Caenorhabditis elegans: one gene and its partners. The protein of the gene in region 1 purifies or fractionates together with the protein of each later gene. This does not show direct contact. Each region holds a gene or a part of one and is shown in the gene's direction. Other genes may lie near its edges.

Region 1 (7,085 bases):
TAAAGAATTCACATCTTCACATTATATATTTCATTCTTTATATACTTTTAGATTTATTCTAGCTTCATTTACTTTGCGGTGGTGTCTTCAACCTATCGGTATGATTTTTATCGCCATTTGAACTCGATCTTTTCATTTTATGATTCCTTTTGGTTGGTATATTAACAAAAGTCTTGTGGTTCGCTGACAGTTATGACAGAAAATTTTTTTGTAAATGAAATTCAATACTTGAAAACTTCTAGATCAAGGAAAAAGTTAGCATAATATCAACTAAAAATATTAAATTATTTCCTTTTTCAATATTATTCTAGTTGTTTTTCATAAGCGTACAAACGCAAAACGGATTTCCGTATAAACATTGGAATTCCGTTTTGCGTGCCTTGTTTTTAGCTAGTCACGTGATTTCCACGTCATTTCAGCCGCTCTACACGAATTCAACGGAAAGAAAGAAACGATGATGATGGGTCGTTGCCTTTACTCTTTTCCTTTTCTCTTCTACTTCTTCCTCTCTTCATTTTTTCTTTTCTTTTCTCATTAAGGACTACTACTACTACAACTTTTATTTTTGTTCTCTTTCTCCATTTCCACCCACCCTGTTGTGCCCTTTATTGGTCAAAAGTCAAATGTCAGGTCTCCTTTTTCTCTATCTTTTGCTGTAATCAATCGACGAACGAGAACTGTTTTGTCGAAATTTTACACAGTTGCACAGAAAAAAGTATTTCAAACAAATTTGCATAAATATGATTGTGTCAATTGTCAGTTTCATGTGACGGATAGATTCTCCAAAAATTTATATTTCTGGAAAAATCTTTTAAAATCAGGCTACCGTAGTTTTCTTATGAGTATCGCATGCAAGTATATTTTTTGATAGATTATTTAATTTTTTTTAATTGTTATCTTGGAAAATATGAAAAGTTAATTTGCAGGCGTTTTGTTTAGCAGAGAGCACTTTTCATATGTTAGTTTGTTTATAATCAAGGCCAGACTAAACTTTCTATATTCAAGCGATTTTCATAGTAAAAGTGTCATGTGATCACTAAAACTAGTGCATAATAATGGTACAAAGAATTTGTTTAGACCCAAGCGGCCGAAATCTTATTTAACGTTTTTTCTCAAAGTAAGAGAACTAAAAATGGTTTTGGATCTAATTAATGTTTTTTTTGATAATCGATAACTAGTCCTCACACTCAAATTTCCAGTCCATCAAATGATCATGTATCTAAATTTAGTTAATTTGAGACATAGAAAAACATGATCTTCCTAAACACCAATGATCACTTATTATTCTTCGTTATATTTTCTTGTTTTGAAAGGTGTTGTGGCACCACGGAGTGGCGGAAGACCGAACCCTTTAAGCCTCAAGAGGAACCGAGCAACGAAGACTATGTCAGAGGTGCAGCATGGCATCGTCTATTTGTATATGTATTGGAAGGAACAGAACACAGTTTTAATAAATATGTTTATTACTCCAAAGGGGAGATAATCAACAGAGGGGGAATGGGTCGTACACAAGAGAGGGGGAAATCGTCTGGTGTGAGAATATCACGTCCTGCCACGCGGGTCTTTGGTCTGAAGAGGTCGTGTGTATGAATGGTCGGGGTCTCTTTGGGTATCAGAGCACGTACATAATATCAGTATGGGGCAACATAATAGAGAAGGGGGTTTGTCGGGGAGAGAGCTGTGCTACGCACGACCGTTCGGCACGGGCGCAGCAGGAGACACTGAAGTGGTGGCGTCCAATGGCTGCGTATCCTGTTGTTGGTTGAGTCGCCGCGCAGTGAAAGCACTGTGCGTCAGAGCAATCTTGTATTGTCTTACGTCGAAACCTCGTCCAAGAGATCTCTCATGAGATCGGAGGACGAGACATTGTGACATGGCGAGACAAGGGTCGAGCCAGGTCACAACAAAAGGTGAAGTTCATGCTCACTTATTATTTTTGAACGGATTTTAATATCTTAGTTTAGTTGATTCTTATTTCTGCTGGAGACTACTCTGCCACACTGAACTTAATTTCTTTTTATGAAAACCATCAATTGATCCTACAAAAAAGAAAGTTCACACCCATTATTATAACGACACCGCCGTACCTAAAAGAGGAGAGATCCACTCCCAGTTTCAAGTATCTTCGTTCTTTTTCTCTCATTTTAAACTCCTTCAGTTTGTAGTTTATGTGCTTTCATAAGTACTATTTCTTGTTCAAAAAATCAACCAGTTCAACACAAAAACTATCATGTAATGATACATAATGTTGCGCTTAACCCTTTTTTATTGATCATCACTTTTTTTTTTCATGCTCTCTGCTCTATCATCCCCGTTTTTTCATTGCTTTGATATTCAGTCATACCGTAAACCTTTTCCGAAAAAAACTCAATTTTCTTGTGTTTTGCTCCACAATATGCTTTTTAAAGTGTTATTATTTCAGATCAACGTGGATCAGTTGCACAATCCTTTTGAATGGGGTGCTCCTGATGTGCCCCAGCAACCGCCACCACAACCACCTCCAAATGAAAATCCAATGCCACCACCTCAACATCCTCCAAATTATTACGCTCCTAGAAGATCGATTTCCACTATAACTGGCCCAAATCGTAGAGATGTAGATGCTTTTTATCAAAATAATTTTCCAGAAAAGGTTTGCAATAGCAACACGAACATAAAATTAGTGAATATAAATATTCAAACGTGTTTTTCCATGAACGGTACTATTCACCAAAACACACAAAAAATGCATTAAAAATTGATATTGAGTAGGTGTCTTAAAATAAACTTTTAAACTTTTCAGAACGGAGGTTCCAGCGGAGAGCATGTTCCAGAATATCAAGCATCAGGGCAACAACACAGACCTTCAATTATGTCAGGGCAGTCACATCAGAACAATCATTTACCTGTAAGTTGTTTTATCCTAATCGATTTTTGGATCTAGTAGCTCAATATTCATATTCATACATTCCTTCAATTTTTTGTAAAAGAGTCATGACGAATTGATGCAATTTGGAGCATAGAAACGGCTGAATCCAAAAAAATCTAAAATTAACGCTAGCAAAAAATTTTTGGTCAGAGGAAAACTACTGGACCGAAACGTTTTAAAATTTGCATTGATATAGTTCTCACTATCTAGAATTTGCAAAACATATTTAACACGATTCAGAACAAAAATTTTTTGTTTATTAGTTATTTTCGATAACGAAAAATGTTGGCAAGAGATTGATTATATTTGTAATTTTGCAATCAACATAAAATTTCTATCATAATTAAGCAAATTTTAAAATTTTAAAAGTTTGAATTTCATATTAATAAACATAGTGTTTCCTATAAAATACGATATCCGAATATTTTCTTAATGTATACTAACAAAAATTTATTTTCCAGACAAAAAACTATTCTTACGAACCTCTCCGATTTTCACCACCCAACGTGACACCTCCACCACTTCAGTTTTCTACAAATACCGTAAGATATTCTATAATATTCCTGAATTTTCAAACCACTTTTTCAGGATGGAAATCGAAAAAATCAACGTGTTAGATTCAACGAGCTTCCTAACTATTCAACTCCAAATCATTATTCAGTTCCGCCTAGAAAGTGCTCATTGGCTCCAAATTTCTTCTCATCGCAAAACTCTCATCATATGTATCCCGATCAATATGTGAGAAATAGAAAGAAAAATAATTACTATTCAATCGCAATTTTAGACTCCTCGTACGTGGCAAAACAATGAGTTTATGCCAAATCATCAGGTCCATCCGTATCATGCTAATCACCAACAGCAACACCCTCAACAACATTGGAGAAATCAAGTGAGGATATTTTTTAATCCTTCTATTATTCAACATTCTAATATTTTTTGGTTCAGGCGGCTTCAAATGGTAATCACAATCCAATGTATATGAGAAAACATTCGGCCGGGCATGGAATAGAGATCAAACTAGATCATGTTGATAATCCGTAAGTTTTTTTTTTCTGTTTGAAAAGTTAATTTTCTGAGGACAATATATTTGATAGCGCTTTATTTTATCTCAAATGGTTGTAATTTTAAAACACGTTTCATATATATTTTTACGGACAAATCTTGGAAAGGTCTTGAAACAATAAATGTTCAAAATTAAAGACACTTTCTCAAAAAAAAAAAGACAAGCTCAAGAACTATTAAAAACATAGGTTAAAATTAATTTCAATAACAAAGTTTGTAGACTTTTGAATGTTCAGTTTTATCATTTTGACTTTTTTGCTTACCAAATATTACACTGCACATTTTTGGCGAACATCTGTTTTTCTTACCTCACATTACGAAAAAAATGCAAAAAAACTCGGATGACCATTTCAGCGACCGGGGCTAAATTTCGAAGCTGAAGTATTGCATATTTTTAGTTCCGGCTCTGGACAGCTCTAAACACAGCCTTCCAAAAATCATAGGTATCGTTGTAAAATCAGAGTATATATCAACTTCCTCTTTTTGTATACTGTATATCTTCTATTAATATGGCCTCCCTATTAGACTTGCACTCCCTATTAGTATTGCCCCCCCGGAGACCTTCCGAAAACTAGTATTGCACTCCCTATTAGTCTTGCACTCTCTAATAGTCTTGCGTTAACTTTTTTTGTATTGCAAACCCGTCTCGCTAATTTCAGGATTTCAACAAAAAAAAATTGCCTATTTTGCAACAGTTTTCACATCATTTTTACGAGATTGAAGTTTTTGAACTTATATGAAAATCAAATTTTCTGAATTTTTACATATGATTCGAGCTTTTTCAGGAAAAAACTAGTAAGCTCAAAGTCAGAAAATGTTCTGAAAATTAGTATTGCACTCCCTAATAGTCTTGCACTCCCTATTAGTATTGCAAGCGGGAAGACCATCTAAAAATAGTATTGCAGCCATATTAATAGAAGAAATACGGTAGTTGTTTTAACAGAAAATCAAAATCTTTACGAATACCCTTTCGAGGTGATGGATGTTGCGACAAATCACGTTGATGCATGATTTTAATTTCAGTGGCCATAAAGTTAACGAAACGCAATCAAATTTGTGCAACTGATAGATAAGAAATTGTTCGGTGCATAAGAAATTTTGGAATTCTCAAAAATTCAAATCTAGATAATTGTGCATTCAAAAAGACAAATATTTAATCAATAAACAAGCATTCGAATGCAAAACATTTTTACTCGTTAAACGAGTTACGCCAACGTTTGTATATTTTTCGTTCGAAAAAAAAAACACTTTGTACACATATTTATTCTAGGAAAAACAAACACGACCAGAGATTTATGAACTTTCCAGTTAATTATCTATATTTACAACGCAACGAAATTCTCAGAATATCCAAATACCCGTCACTGAAATGCCATATATTCTAGGGATGCACTTGCTCAAGATTTTTCATATTAGGGAAGACATATTTACGTAATGTGATTAGCTGAGATGCTAGTGTAACAAATTAATCTTAAATTAAAATTGTGATCCTTCCAAAATTAGAATTATAGAAATCGAGTTCAAAATATTCATTTCTCCACACATGGGGTTTCAAACATTTTGCGAGACCATTACGCAATTTCTTAATCTATAAAAAGAAAAGTTGCAAAAATGACGTAAGGAATCTAGTTATCTGATTCAAAAACCAATAAAATATCCTTGTCTGGTTAATCTAAAAGTTGTTTTGTATTTTCACAAATATCTAATTTCATAGTCTGGCACGAAAAGTCAAAAGAAAACATAGCAAGTACATGTTTTACTTGAAAAATTCGTGAAGAAAAATAGTATATGTTATTATCAGTTTCTATTTCATCTGCTTCTTCTTTTTTAGTTTCCTTTTCTACTTTGTTTTCATCACCAAACCCCTATTCGTTTCTCAGTCAAAACAAAAGAGAATGAGGTGTTCAGTTCCGTGAGATATGCCGGCTCAAAACATAAATATACCTTCCACTTTTGTCTGGTACATTCAGGAACGGTTTTTGGTCAACTAAATGAGAAACTAGTAAAGTACTATAAATGTAGACTATATTCAAATTGAAAAATCCATGTTACATCGTTACATTTTTTTTTTGTTATTTTTCAATTCATTTTGTTCCATGTTGTCTATTGCAGAAGACTTGTGACCGTAGTCGTTGTTTTCAACCGAAAAATTGGAAAAAAAGAGTAAGCGAGAGAGAGAGTGAAGAGAAAAAGGGAAAGAGGGCGTGAGGAGTATGTCTATATGTCTGCCCCAGTCTCAAAGCTTGTCTCTTTTTCTTTTCATCTTTCTTCAATATTTCCTTCTTTTTTTCTCCTGCCGCCTGAAAAAGGAAGAATTTAGTCCCTGAAATATCTGAGATTTCAAGCATTTCTGAGCATTCTTTTCGTTTCAAGACAGTCTGTGTGTAACCATTACTGTCAGTTTTGTTCCGTGTTTCAATTTTGATCAATTCTGATTTTTGGTTTTTTCCTGTGGTAGAAGGGTGAGAAAAAGAGGGTCTCGTCACGAGTATATAAGTATTTGAGATCTCACTTCGAATGTTGTTATTCAACAGTTTTTGTAATGTCTGCGAAATGATTTTTATACTTTTTTTGTGATCATTTTTTTTGCAATTTTCCACCATTTTAAATAGTTTTCAATTTGTTTCAAAAAGAGAAATCAGAAAGATAAATTTAAAGTGAATCCATTTAAAAATAAAAGTACTTTCTCATTATTATATTGCTTCTTGCACCAATTATGCAACAACATAGTCTATGACCTCTTTATTATGCATTCTGACATTTTAGACTCAAGAAAAATTGTCCTTGAAGTATATGATTAACCTTAACTCTAGCTTATTTGCAAATATTTTTTGCAGTACTCAGCAAATTGAAAACTGTTTACATTCCAATTTCCTTGAGGTTTTTTCTCCTCTCGCTCCAATTCAAACAGTCATAAAACTGTGCATTTACTTCAACGAAAAAAAAACTGTATTTCTAATAAATTTTCTCTCTTTTTTTAGCTGCCGCATTTGACTGGCAGCTCTTTAAACACAACACAATACGATTTGTGATTCATCGTGTTCTTCATCAAAACACAATCCTTTTTCATTTCATAACCATCGTTATGTTTCACATACTTATTTTTTTGAATGAT
Region 2 (6,932 bases), on another chromosome or scaffold:
CTAAAAAAATGTAAATATTGATAAGGACATAATAAAGTTAAAGCGACAAAGAAAAAACAAGGAAAATATGATTCAAAACGTATATTCTCTAATCGGAACAATACAATAGCGTCAACAATATGACACATTTATTGAAAATAGAAAATCCAAAAAGAAAATTGAATCAAAACTCTGCTTGGAGCGTAATACAACAATCCAAGAGAGAATAAATGATCTTTCAACTAGCTTATCAGTTTCAAATTCAATACAACCCATCAGTCTATTTCTATCAGAGAGTGACCAACGTTACTGATAAATAGAATACGACTGTTTTGGCTTGAAAAGTCTGTTAGATTGTTTCAAATGAAGTGTCAAAAGAACCAATAAAGCATGGTCAGTGAGTGTTGATCGGCAAAAAATGGAGCTGAAGTGTAAGTAAACTTCAAAGTCATGTGGGTGTAAAAAAGAAGGAATTCGAATTTCAACGGACCGGAAAACATCGATATGTGCCATTTTCATTTTTTTTATTTCCTGGTTTTCGTTCAATTTTATGCTTTAGGCTGCTGAGTCCCACAAAAACACTTTTTTTGTAGAAAAGAATGCAACAATAATTTGTGCGAAGATTGCATGGAAGAAAGGAAAAAAAGCAACACAAAAAATAGAAGAGGAATGCAAGGCAGTTGCCGTCAACTTGACGGGCGGGAGGGAAAATGCAAGAACGACAGGGCAGGAGGGTCTTGAAATGGCACTTTGTGTATATATTAGAAACGGGGAATTCTGGAGGAGGAGAAGCACAAAATGAGCACAGGAAGGAAGGAGAGAACAGAGCAAGACGAGTCTTTCAAAGGAGAAGAGGGCCTAATTTCAATGAGCTGCGCTTGGTCAAAGACTTCTCGAAAATCAATGCAGACAGAGGGAAAGAGAGAGAGAGAGAGAGCGAGTGAAGAACAGGTGCTAGGCTTCATATCTAGAGCTGATAGTGTGAACTTATGTTTTCAGTGATGCATTTGAAAAATTCATACACAATTTCAGTTTTTTTTGAGTCTCTAAATTATTTTTTCCAGATTCTAACCAATATTTTAAATAAAACTGAGTTTTTCCACAATAATAATTAAAACACTACAGACCTCTACAGAAAACTACAATCAAGTGATCATAATAGGATCATGCTCCCCCACAAATTAGATGAACACAGAGCACAAAAATAAGAAAAACAGCTATCCAGACAGGCAGACATATCGGTCACACGAAGGGACAAAGAAGGGAAGAAAAGTATTCGTGAGCACAAACAACAACCCATCACTTTGTTTGTGCAAAATAAAGACCTAGTGAAACTGCTTCCACGAAAGCGACTGCCGTCTTGAATTGCGAAGGACCCACCCGCGGCGGTTCTCATTGTTTTTTGGAGCAACTAGAATTCGAAATGAACGGAACCGAAGATGAAAATAATAATTTGAAAAGATCGATGAGAAAGAGGGTTTTCCATCGCGGCTTTGAGACAGACAGCGATCATTGAAAATGGATATTTGTAGTGCAAACTCCTTGCGCGCCAACACAACAGCTAGCGTGGTGAACAAATCGGAGGAGTGTGTGAAATGTTTTGGAAATATTCAGAGACATATTGATGTTTATAAATTTGATTATTTCTCGAGCGCTAGAGAAAATCTTGATTTCAGAAATGATGCTGGTTGACACAAACGCCAAATGGCAACAGCTGAACTCTACTGGAAAAAAGCCTAGCTATGACGCAAATGGTTTTCAAGAATATCCAGGTACGCTTCGAGAGATATCACCATGGCATGCTCATATTATAGGTTAAGAACAAAGACGGCCTTTCTGAATATGACATGAGGAAGAGGAGGAGAAAATTTTATATACACTCAATAAATCAGATTTATACTAATTTAGTCCGTTCAAACTAAACATTTTTATTCTAGACAGCTTCACATCAGCAGATATAAGAAGTAAAAAATTTGAAACAATTTAAATAGGTATAATCAGAATCAATGTCTTGACTCACTATTACGCTAACATAGGAATTAAATATTACTCCGACGCAAAATTTCCGTAATTTTGCGTTAAAAATACGGTATCCGGTCTCGGCACGAAATATGTTGTTAAATACAAGAATGTGCGCGCCTTTAAAGAGTACCGTTCTTTTAGCGTAAGAAACGCAAGATTTCGAGTATGGACAATATCAAAACTGGATGACAAATTAAAGAATGATCGCTTTCGTTTTCGAAGAACAGATTTTTAAACTTTTTTCACAACTTTAATACTATTTGACAAAGATAGAATCGAAAATACGCAACACGGAAGAATATAACAAATGACACAAAAACAGAACCGTCGAACTGATTACTGTGTGATTGATTGGTTTAGTGCGAACAAGTGTTTGTCCAAATGTTCCAACCGGATCGCCGATTTGTCTCTTTCCTCTCACCACGAAATAGAAAAACAAACATTAGGTTTATCAAAACTGACCAATGTCTTTGATCTTATCAAGCTACTACTCTCAATCTACCACCTTCGGAGAAAAGTGAACATAGGAAATGGAAGAAGAGGGAGCATGGACATCATAACTAGTAGAGAAAAAAGCGAAACAAAAACCACAAACTCTGTGCGATGGGCAAAACCAACGGAGAAGTGAGTTGAGAGAAGGCAGGGAGAGCGTGTCAGGGAGAGAGTATGAGGAAAACATGCCGCCTGGAGAGTCGCAGAGAGTGCTGCGTCTTTTCTGCGTCTATCCAAAAGACGATAGTATTTTCCAGCCAGCTAGCATGACTGCCACTTTTATTTCCTCTTCTCTTTTTTCTACGTAGTCACCCATATACACTCAAATCTTAAAATTTAAATTTTCAGCACTGAAAATGTTCGAACGGCAAACTGGAAATGGGAATGGCAACAAAATGAATATGAGGATAGTGATTCTCGATGAATTGTTGAGCAGAGAAATGGATGGAAGCAACGATGGATCGTCAGCAAGAGTTAGTTCTTTTTAAAAATTGTGAACAGTGTTGGATGATGCATTATGACAATCAACTGATTTAATTTAAACATTGCCCTGCAAAAAGTGTGAATTTTAATCGAGTTTTTTGTGGAGGATGAAAAAGAGTTAAATTTTGCTAAAAAAGCAACAAAAAACTCACACCGGAAAAAGAAATTGGGAAAATTTCAGGTAAATTCATTGAAGCACGTGATAAAAAGGAACAAAATGGATATGGCAGACGATGCACCATCTTCGTTGGATCTAATGAGACGGGTATGGACTGTTAATGTTTCAAGTAATTAAAATGAAAATTATTCAGATTTTCCAAGCGGAAATATCGAGAGAAATCCATCAGATTATGGAGAGGCATACTAGAACAACGCTATTACCAGCTATCGAAAATCTCCGCAAAAATGGGCATGTTGTTGACGAATCAGTTTTGAATGGTTTGTACTGTAACATTTTGGAGGCTGCAAAGAAGCCATATCAAAAAGATCCGGAGCCTATGCCACCGATTTGTACAAATGGAAATGGGTTCCTTGATATCAACAGTCAAGAACATGAGAATAATTTAAAGGTAATTCAAATCTCAAATCGAATAAAGAATGAAAAACTATATTTTTCAATTCTAGAAAATATCTGGAAAATTTTCGCCGACTGTTTTCAAAAAAGGACCTTTCAAAACTATTTTAATAGATACAACGGAAGTAATTAAAGCAAATTTTGGCGACGATTTCAAAACTTTAATCACTACGGCGTGGTTAAAAAATACAAAACAAAGTATATCAAAAATGCTGATATTTTCAGAGAGGATACGAATCGGATAGCTCAGACGTGTCTGGAGTCAGCCACTGCTCCGATGCTAAAAGACGACGAGGTCGTCCACGTAAAGATGAAGAAGCATATCGACTAGAAATGACGCCACCGACAATGAACGAAGTCATTCGGTGGAATCCGGACAGAATCGATGTGAACACCCGTTTTATAACGGCGACAAAAATTGCGCAAGTGATGGGAATGCCCCCGTCGATTCTGTTCAACAAGTATCCACGAATGTTTAGAGTAAGTAACTGGAAATCGGCAATTTTCAAAAACTGTTCTACCGTTTTAGTATTCCTGCGATGAAGATGACAAAAATATTCTACATGAGCAAAATCTTCTCATCAGGGCACCCGGTAGATGCTATCTTCTGGTTGCAGAAGATGCTCGTCAGCTAGTTCCCTCCACTTACTTGTAAGTTTTTTCTACAAATTTAAAAGAGAAAACCAAAGAAAAATATAAAGGAAATGATTATCCTACTCCAACAAAACTCTCCGAAAAATAATTATTGCTCTAAATCGCATCGCGCTTCGCCGAGCAGCACTTCCCTCACCTACCGATCAAAAATAACAGATTACAACGAAACAGGTAGAAAAGAAGTAGAAAATATCTAGAAATGAGAGAAAAATTGGTTGATAATAAAAAAAAGTCCGTAAAAAGATAGCAATTAAAATTAGAGCGATTGTCCACGAGAAAATTGTGAGAATATTCAGAGAGTTCTATAAATTTTTGAAAATTTAGCATTTTTATTTCAGCCAAGATGTCCTCAACGTCTCATTCCTCATCTCCGAGCCACTGCTATCAAAAATTCGCCAAAAAGCGGCATCAACCTACGAGAAGTACAAAGTCTTTCTGCCCACACAACCGAATAATTATCTCTGAAATGTTTCTAGTCGTTTTTGTATTTTAAAGCACATTCCCAATTCTGAATACTTTTCTGAAATCCATGAAATGGAACTTGAATCCAGTTTTCACTAAAACGACCTCATACACTTTCTCTCGTATCCTCAAAATATCTATGACATTATCATTAGCTTCGCTAGTTTCATTTCTTTCAAATATTATGCATTCTTAAATTCCGATACCCGCGTGCAAAAGTGCTCTATTGAGCAACTTTGGGATCATATGTACACACCAATGCCCTTTTCCCAAATCTTTTCCTGTCCTTTTCTCTAAAAACAATAAATCCATGCCTATTCCAGTATGACCCCTTTGAAGCAGATATAATCGCACAAACATATACACATAGCTCGGATAAATGTAGAAAAAGAAGAAAAGAAGTATAAGTAGATAGATGCTTTCCGGCAATTATCCACCGCACCGTAGTCTTCACCAACTGAGACTGCGTCGTTAGGAGACGCCGACATGATTCAGAAGCAGAATTTGGAAGAAAAACGACGATGATATTGAGGCTGGCACACATACACCGGAATATTCGACATGCCACCACATCTAGATTCCAAGGCAATCTCTACCTCTTCCCATTCTTTCGGTTTTTTTGTTCTGACAAGAAAAGTGGATAGCTACGGGCTCAATGAGCTGATTTTATTTTTAAATATCTTAAAACTATACTAGATTCATGTGTTTTCAGGTCCATATTCCAAATTAGTCGAAAAGCTGATCCCGCTACGGTTTACTCGAATCTCAACAATTTTTAGCCATGCAGTTGGTGCCTACAGGTATTTCGTTTTTTGCCCGACTCTTATTTATCTGTAGACTTTCGTTATAAAACAAAGCTATCTTTCTGAAATTGTTATTACGTAGACGCCTCAAGATGAGAATCTTCGCCAAATCTTACGCACATGGGTCTCGCCACGCAAACAAAGAATATGATACAATAGCGGTCTGCAAATTGACATGAGTTACAGTAATTCGTTCTCCGCGTGGCGAGACCCGCGGCTAAAGTTCTCATCCTTAGAGACCAACGTAACACTCTGGGTATAGTATAACTTACCATTAAAATTTTTTTTTAAGTTTTATAATTCTTCACAGGGTTTAACATTAGATTAAAAATTAGTCGGTGACTTCTAACTAAAGTTAAAATCAAATCTTCAGACGATCCCGACGAAAAAATCGGTCGGACGTCTAATGGCATGCAAAATGCAACTCTTCCTATTGATGGACCAGTTAATACAGAACCCAAAGATCCAGCAAGAGAACAGTGGTCTGGAAAGGTAAGATCCATCTTGCCTGTAATTCTACATATGAACCCATCTTTTCAGCTGGACTTCCTTCTCTCAGTTGTCGGGTTTGCTGTAGATTTGGGAAATATATGGCGATTTCCATATCTTTGCTTCAAAAATGGAGGAGGAGTATTTCTGATTCCTTATTCTATAATGGTCCTGTTGACAGGAGTTCCACTATTCTACATGGAGTTGTGCCTCGGCCAGTATTATAGAAAAGGAGCAATCACAACTTGGGGAAGAATATGTCCGTTGTTCAAAGGAATCGGATATTGTGTTATTTTAACCGCATTCTATGTGGATTTCTTTTATAATGTGATCCTTGCCTGGGGGCTTCATTATTTATATACTTCATTCAGGTGAGGACAAAATATGCTTATTTTAGGTATTATAAAGACATAGTAAAACCAAATAATTTTTAAATCTTATAAATTTTTACCGCCATAATTTGGAAAACTATTGCAATTAATGTCAAAAATCTTGTCTAAGTCTACCAAAAATGACTAAAGTTCTACAAAGCCTCTGGTAAAATTTCAAGAAAAAAATTACAGTTTTTTTAAAACTTGATACTAATTATTTTTAGATATCTATTCGGATATCTTGCCAATGCTATACCAGAAAAATTTTAAAAACCACCATTCCTTTTAATTTTGCCATATTCACTTTATTTTCAGTTTTAACCTGCCATGGGCATCCTGTAACAACAGTTATAACTCTCCTGCTTGTTACGAACCACACTGGTCAGAAGACGGAACAGCAATGTGTCGAAGTGCAAATCAATCTGTCTCAGCTGAAAAGATTTCAGCTGCTGAAGAATACTTTTAGTAATTTCTAAACTTTTTTGATAATTTCTAAAAAAAATATATATGTTTCAGTAAGGGATTTCTGGGGCTCCATGAAGCAAATGCACCGAACTCTCACGTTATTCGAAGTGTCACCGATCTGGGAAATGTACGTTGGGA
Region 3 (7,255 bases), on another chromosome or scaffold:
CTAGGCTCTGTGTGGCCGAGTTTTTTCTCTACGACCACGCAATGAAAGAGCTAGGCCACAAGTGATTAGACCCCAAGTTTACCGTCATAAACATGGTGTATCAAAACTTTCGAAAAACCCAAGTTTTTGAATTCTCGACGCACCATGTTTCCGACTCGACTGTCTAAGCTCTGCGTGCGTGGCCGAGTTTTCTCTCATTCTTTCTCCACGGCCTCCTCTCCCTTCAAGCAACTAATTTCGACCTCATTACTCATCACCTTCGGTTCCTTCTCATTCCGCTCGGTCTCCTCCTCATTTCGCTCATTTTCTCGAAAAAGCGTGAAAATTTGTGTGTGCGCACTAGCACTTGCTCATAAACAGACAGAGAGAGGGTGAAAAATTGGAGCGAAAAACGAAGATTAGTGTGGAGAGAGGACATTCTTTCTCTCTCTCTCTCTACTTTTCTTCCCACTAGCTGCTTCTTCTCTCTCTCTCTTCTTTCATTTTTGGCCTGAGGGCAGGCACTACTGCAACATTTCGCCTTTGCCCCCCCCCCGCTCGAAAATGAAGTTATCACTTGTTTTTGTGGCGGCGACGGCGGACAGTGATAAGGTGATAAGGAAAAGGATAAGACCCCACAAACCCCGTTTTTTTTGTAAACTTTCCCCAGAGAAACTGCATGTTTACTGTGTAAAAATTCGGGTTTTTTTTTTCAAATTTTTGGGTTGATCCGCCATGTTTTATGGGTTCCGAGCTGCCTAGCTTTCTTGTGAACGTGGCCTAGTTTTCAGAAACTCGGCCACGCAGAAAATCGAAAACATGGTGCATCGATGGTGAAAAAAACTTGATTTTTTGCCCCAATTACCACGTGGTGTCAGAGTGTCTCATTTCGGCTTGATCTACGTTGATCTACAAAAAATGCGGCAGAGTTCTCAACTGATTTCGTATGGATAAGAAGGTGCCGACGTCACAATTTTTCGGTGAAAAAATTCCCGCATTTTTTGTAGATCAAAACGTAATACGTTTTGATCTACAAAATTAATGGGACAGCCTGGCACCACGTGCAATTGTTCTAAAGTTCCCCAAAACGTCGATGCATCATATTTCTGATAATAAAATTCTACCATTTTAAACTGATTTGCCCAACAAAATGCCCCAAAATCCCTTAAAAATTTTACAATTTTTGCCCTCTGACGTCATTCTAAAAAGTTTATTTATTGGGAAATTGCTTGGTTTATTTTTAGTTTTTTCTCCTTGAAATCCAAAAAAAATCTGACATTTTCAAGAGCACCGCATTCAAAATTAATGGGAGTTTCTTTTCTTTTTTTTTTTTTGAAAAACATTTCGTATAGAAATGATGAATTTTAAAGAAGAAAAGAAATTTTTTTTTCGAAATGTGAATTATCAAACAGAAAACTGAAGTTATGTTAAGTCAGATTTTTTAAAGTCCAAACTAAGAAAATTCGAAAAATTCTGGGATTTCTTTTGCTGAAGATTCCGCAAAAAAAAACCGAACATTTTCATGTTTCCCTACAAGCTTGTGGTTTTATAGCATTTTTTACAAAAATTGTGTTCTAAAAATCTCCCTTTTTGGCTTTTTTTCGCTGAAAATTTGAAATATTCGACTTTTGCCGTCAAAAACCGGTAAAAATCAATTTTCACATAATTTTTCTGTTGCAAAATATTTAATTTTATTTTAATTTTATTTCTCAATTTTTCTCCTAAAATTCAGTTTTATTGTTGGAATTCATGGAGTTTTTGCCTGAAAATGAGAGTTTAAAAATATATTATTTTCACACATGTCGTAAGATTCTGCGCTCGATCCGCATTTTTCTCCATCCGTGTTTGCGTACTTTCGTCACACGCGAGTTTAATGAAATTTAAATCGAAATTTATCAATTTTCTCATCATTTTTTCCTTTTTTTTCAGGTTCTCTCTTGTCTCCGCCCCGAAGAAGTTCCACATTTTCGCGAAATTATCAAGAAATACAATAGCGGCGAGCAAAATGTGAAGATTTTCGCGCAAAAGCTCGTCGAACTGCTCGGCCCCGGACGAAAAAAGCGTCTTTCATGTGAGTTTCTACAACACTCCCCTCTTTTCTTTTCTTCGAATTCAATGCAATTTCCTGTGCCAATTTGCAGACCTGAAACATGCGTTGAGAGCCGGCGACATGCTCCAATTCGACTCGGCGATTCTTTGAAATACGCGGGTCGTCAAAATGCGGGTGAGTGTCTTCGTCGTGAAATTGCAATTTTTCTTTTTTTTTTAAAGAATTTTTATCGTAGAAAATTCTGTTTATTTATTATTTAATTTTGCAGGGAGATGCTGATGAAGATGTGGCGGAGACGGATGGATTTCGATTGGATTTTTTCTTTTTTTTACATTTTTTTTCAAATTTTCTCCTCTAAAAGTCGGTTTTTCTGTGAAAACTACCCGCAAAATCTGAGAATTTCGCGTTTTTTTTCTGAAAAATTGCGTGAAAAACCACAATCCACTTGGATTAAGCTGAAAAATCGGCAATTTTGTATATTTTGTCAGGATTTTGATTTAAAAATCGAATTTCTTGTGAAAAATTTGCTTTTTCGGTGAAAGTCGGTTTTTCTTGAAATTTTGCACGAGGTTTCTCCTGAAAATTGGCTTTTCTTAGATTTTTTTTCATAAAATTCCCGGAAAATTTGTGGTTTACTCAAAAAATGCCCCGTTTTTCCAATTTTTTCCTGTAAATTTGGTGGTTAAAAAATGACGAATTTTTTGCATTTTGTGGAAAATATTTGTTCGGAAAAATCACAAAAATTCTCGAATTTCGTGTAAAAATATAGAGAAAAACGACATTTTTTCCGCTGAAAATTGAGTTGTCTTAGATTTTTCTGATATAATTCCCTGAAAATTAGTGGTTTTCTCAAAAAAAAATGCACCGAATTTTTTAAAAAATTCCACGTAAACATGCGCAGAAAATTCCTTTTTTTTCTGAAAATTTGAGCAAAAATTGCCGAATTTTCTTCAAAAATGATGTTTTTTTCGCAAAAACTCAAATTTCGTGTGAACATTTTCGGAAATTTATCGAAAAAACTGCATTTTTTCGCTGAAAATTTGAATTTCCTCTCGATTTCTCTCTCACTTTTCCGCATTTTTTTCCGTTTTTTCCTCCCCGCTCCGCTCAAAAAAATCAATAAATAAATACTTTTACAGATCAAAAGGTGATACCTCCGACGCCCGCCATCCACCACATCCACTCACAATCCGAAAATTAATCGATAAAACAATAAAGCGACCAGCGGAAAATCAACTGGAAATGAGCTCTGGGAGCCGTCCGTCGAGCGGCGGTGGTGGTGGTGGCGGAGGAGCCAGTGGTGGAGCCGGTGGTGGTGCTCCAGGTGGTGGTGGAGGTGGAATCCGTGGATTCTTCTCCAAACTTCGTAAGCCGTCTGATCAGCCGAATGGGAATCAGGTTAGAGTTTTGTGGGAGGTTTTTTTGCAGGAAAAATCGCTGAAAAATGATTAAAATTTACCTTTGTGTAGATTTACGGGGATTTTGGGGGAAAATATGCGGGAAAATGGGCAAAAATGATATAATTTTGATAAATTTGGCCTAAAAATCCCGAGTTATTCGGTCATAATGTGCTCAGGACTTTGTAAAGACCTATGTGGATTTACGGGGGTTCAGTGTCGATTTACGAGACTGTAATGTCGATTTACGGGGGTTCAGTGTCGATTTACAAGACTGTAATGTGGATTTACGGGGGTTCAGTGTCGATTTACGAGACTGTAATGTCGATTTACGGGGGTTCAGTGTCGATTTACGAGACTGTAATGTCGATTTACGGGGGTTCAGTGTCGATTTACGAGACTGTAATGTCGATTTACGGGAGTTCAGTGTCGATTTACGAGGGCTGTAATGTCGATTTACGGGGGTTCGGTGTCGATTTACGAGACTGTAATGTCGATTTACGGGAGTTCAGTGTCGATTTACGAGGGCTGTAATGTCGATTTACGAGGCTTTAATGTCGATTTACAGGGGTTCAGTGTCGATTTACGGGATAACATTTTCCGAAATTTTACTGAAATTCGACTAGTTTTGGAATGAAATCCTTCAATTTTGCAAAATCTTTCCAGGATTATTTGGTGTTTTCCGCAGCTCCGTGTATATTTACGGGGGCCTGTGTCGATTTACGAGAGTTTTTTTTCAATTTGGCGAACTCAACATTTGATTTGAGTTTATACCATAAATGCAGTTTTCTAAATTGAAAATTTCAAAAATCTGTGTAGATTTACTGATGCCTATGTCGACTTACGGGCGAAACTTTTGGTGATTTTCACCAATTTCAGCCAGATTTTCAAAATTTTCAGGTTTTTTGTGCACAGAAATGGTATCAACTTTGACATTTTTTACACATTTCCGGTTGAAATCCTCGGATTTTTGCTAGATTTTGTCTGAACTTCTAGATTTTCGTGACCAGAGATCATTGTCACTTTGTGTGGATTTACGGAGGAGCCGATTGTCGATTTTCTGGATTTTCTGCGGTTTTTCCGGGGTTTTTGGTGCTCCAAATGGAAAATTCTTCCGAATTATTGCCTAGACTCTTCCGACTATTCTGCTGGTTGTTCCGAGTTTTTCAACACATATTTTTCCAATTTCCCGCTCCGGAGCTCTCCGCCAATTCTGCTGCTCGGCTCTCTCCACAGGACGCCTGCAATACGACACCAACTGTTGTTTGATGGCTCCATGGGGGTCGCGTAATGATCATGTTCATGTCGACTTGACGAAATTCCTCTTATCACAACAAATTGAGCCTGGTGATAGCAGACCTGGTGGTGAAGAGTTTTCCGTATTTCTAGTCCTATATTCCGTGCTGAAATGTGTGGAAGTGTCTGAGTATGAAAAGATGATGAAGCAGCAGCCACCCAGGATTTATGTGAGTTTTTGGCGGACCGAAAACTTGGAGAATTGGAATTTGATTGGCATTTTTTCGCCTTAAAATGCGACCTAGTGGGGGCTAAATCCCAGATTACGGTAGAAATTTCAGAAGTTCAGCTCTAAAATTAGAAAAATCATCGACATTTGAGCAAGACATCAGGATTACCGAAAATCTGAAATTTTTAGGCGAAAGCTTGGATTTCCGATGGCTTTTCAGTTTTTAAAATTGACAATTTCAATAGTCTAATAATGGATTTTTCCTCGAAATTTCGCCCAGAATCACGGAAGAAAATCGATTCTCATCTGAAAATTCGAATTTCGCCTTCACCGCATACGCGCCCCACTGAGAAAGTTAGGCATTTTTTCTCATTGGAGCGTGTTTGCTACTAAATCCACGTAGATTTTTCTATTTTCCGACAAAAAAATAACTGCAAATTGATCGATTGATCTGAAAATTGATATATTTTTTTATGAAAAAAAAAAAGTAATTCTCTTATCAATCCCTATCGGCCGAACTGACGTCATGTTGTTCCCCACAGCTCAAAGCTTTCGAAACAGTGAAAACTCGGCCATTACTAAAAATGCCAAAATTCGCAAAAATTCGAAATTTTGGCAGAAAAAGGCGGCGGCCACGAGCCGAAAAATCTCGGCCACTTCACGGAGTTTATAGAATAACCGAACAATTTCTTTTGCTTTTCGGTTTACACCTGCTTCCCGGTGAAAAGTCTAGAAAAATTTGAGCTTTCTGAATAGAAAATACATCTAAATTGCCATTTTTTTCCTGTTAAAGATCGCAGAAATTCAATTTTTCCGATATTTTGGCAGAAAAAGGATGAGATTTGACCCAATCTTCCTATAAATTGTTACTTTTTCCCATAGCTCAAAGATTTCCGAACAGTGAAAACTCGACCATCACGTGGTGCCAGGTGTGTCCCATGTCGGTTTGATCTACGTTGATCTACCAGAATGCGCGGGAAATTGGACGCAGACTTTTCAACTTATTTTGCATGGCTAAGAACATGCGGACGTCACATTTTTTAGGCCAAAAAATCCCGCATTTTTGTAGGTCAAACCGTTATGGGAAAGTCTGGACCATACCGATTTGTTCCTCGGTTTTTCACGTGCTCGTGGTGTCAAAAAATTCCAGCTTCCCAGACCACGTCTCACCTGGAAAATTGATCGATTTACGATTTTTCAGAGTCGAAATTCGCAAAAATTCAATTTTTCGAAATTTTGGCACACAAAATTTCTGAAAATTGAACAATTGATCAGAAAAAAATTCGATAGTTCTTCTTATCAATTTTCTCAATGGTATTTTCTTCCTGGTGAACTCTTCCTTATGCACAAGTGTACGTGCTCTTGTGCAATTGTGCATTGCACAAAAAACGGGTGAGCCCATGCCGATAGGGACGACCGACGCTAATAGGATTTTCCTCCCGTCGTCGGGCCGTTTTTCTCATTTTTTACAAGCCAGTTTCATTTTTTTATGCCCAAAAAAAAAAGTTTTACTTCATTTTTTTTTATTTCAAGGCCCCACCACCCCTCGTCGTCATCACTATTTTTGGACGTTTTGCATTAAAAATATGTGCGCCCTCCCATTTTGCCAATTTACTTTTTTTTAATCACCTGCCTGCCTGCCCCGGCTGTGTGTCAACAACACACAGAGAGAAACACAATTTTTGAAAAAATACAACTTTTTTTTGTTGTTTTTGATCTCTGTCGCCCAACGAAATTGAGTGAAAGACTTGATTACCTATTTTCTAAGAAAATTGAATTCCCGCCCTGGGGAGACACACACACACAGGAAGCACATTTTTTCTGCAATTTTCCAAGAAAAATCTGAAAACTTGTTGAAAAATGAGAATTTCCCACGATCACATGCATCAAACGCGCCCTAATGAGAAAAGTATTCAATTTTCTCACTGGGGCGCGTTTGCAATATGCGATCGGCGGGACATTTGAATTTTTTTTGTGTGCGGACACTTAATTTTATGCACTTTTTGTTTACTTATTTTCCTGTCCTTGAAGCCCTTTTTCTGCAATTTTTCAAATAAATTTCCACTAGAAATATTTTTTGCTCCGCAAACGCGCTCTAATGAGAAAAAAAGCGAATTTTCTCACTGGGGCTCGTTTTCTGAATGTTATCAGTTTTTTACCATTTTTCGAGACGAAAAATCTAGATTTCTACGAAAATGTACGTGGCATCCCAGAATTTCTGCCTTAAAAAAAATGAAAATGTGGAAATTTAAAAATTTCTGAAAATTTTCAAAAAGCTTTTGAATTTGTCCGTGGGGCCCGAGAATTTCTGCGAAAAAAAAGCAAAAATATCCTTTCGTTTTCCTGCCTCATTGACTCTGAATC

The links.
Region 2: the proteins of saeg-1 (region 1) and saeg-2 purify together in Caenorhabditis elegans (affinity purification with western blotting, with the first as the bait; one study listed by BioGRID). This does not show direct contact.
Region 3: the proteins of saeg-1 (region 1) and egl-4 purify together in Caenorhabditis elegans (affinity purification with western blotting, with the first as the bait; one study listed by BioGRID). This does not show direct contact.

What each region holds. Positions count from the first base shown.
Region 1 is NC_003283.11:10,861,130-10,868,214, reverse strand, and holds the start of saeg-1 (Suppressor of activated egl-4 protein 1), read left to right. Parts: upstream 1-2,515; coding exon 2,516-2,632; intron 2,633-2,782; coding exon 2,783-2,887; intron 2,888-3,369; coding exon 3,370-3,450; intron 3,451-3,496; coding exon 3,497-3,646; intron 3,647-3,692; coding exon 3,693-3,797; intron 3,798-3,853; coding exon 3,854-3,945; intron 3,946-6,145; exon of another isoform or gene 6,146-6,279; intron 6,280-7,085. UniProt on the Caenorhabditis elegans protein: As a likely component of a histone deacetylase complex, together with saeg-2 and hda-2, functions downstream of the cAMP-dependent kinase egl-4 to regulate the expression of genes required for egg-laying and foraging.
Region 2 is NC_003281.10:9,237,528-9,244,459, forward strand, and holds saeg-2 (Suppressor of activated egl-4 protein 2), read left to right. Parts: upstream 1-2,835; 5' UTR 2,836-2,894; coding exon 2,895-2,966; intron 2,967-3,157; coding exon 3,158-3,241; intron 3,242-3,287; coding exon 3,288-3,545; intron 3,546-3,775; coding exon 3,776-4,030; intron 4,031-4,079; coding exon 4,080-4,201; exon of another isoform or gene 4,202-4,266; intron 4,267-4,480; exon of another isoform or gene 4,481-4,542; coding exon 4,543-4,669; 3' UTR 4,670-4,987; downstream 4,988-6,932. Other genes in the region: dat-1 (Sodium-dependent dopamine transporter), read left to right, coding at 5,448-5,466, 5,843-5,961, 6,010-6,329, 6,645-6,794, 6,846-6,932. UniProt on the Caenorhabditis elegans protein: As a likely component of a histone deacetylase complex, together with saeg-1 and hda-2, functions downstream of the cAMP-dependent kinase egl-4 to regulate the expression of genes required for egg-laying and foraging.
Region 3 is NC_003282.8:1,844,800-1,852,054, forward strand, and holds the start of egl-4 (cGMP-dependent protein kinase), read left to right. Parts: upstream 1-3,271; coding exon 3,272-3,427; intron 3,428-4,865; coding exon of another isoform or gene 4,866-4,892; intron 4,893-7,255. Other genes in the region: ccm-2 (CCM (Cerebral Cavernous Malformation) gene homolog), read left to right, coding at 1,909-2,050, 2,121-2,179. UniProt on the Caenorhabditis elegans protein: Promotes chemoreceptor gene expression in response to increased cGMP levels by antagonizing the gene repression functions of the class II HDAC hda-4 and the mef-2 transcription factor.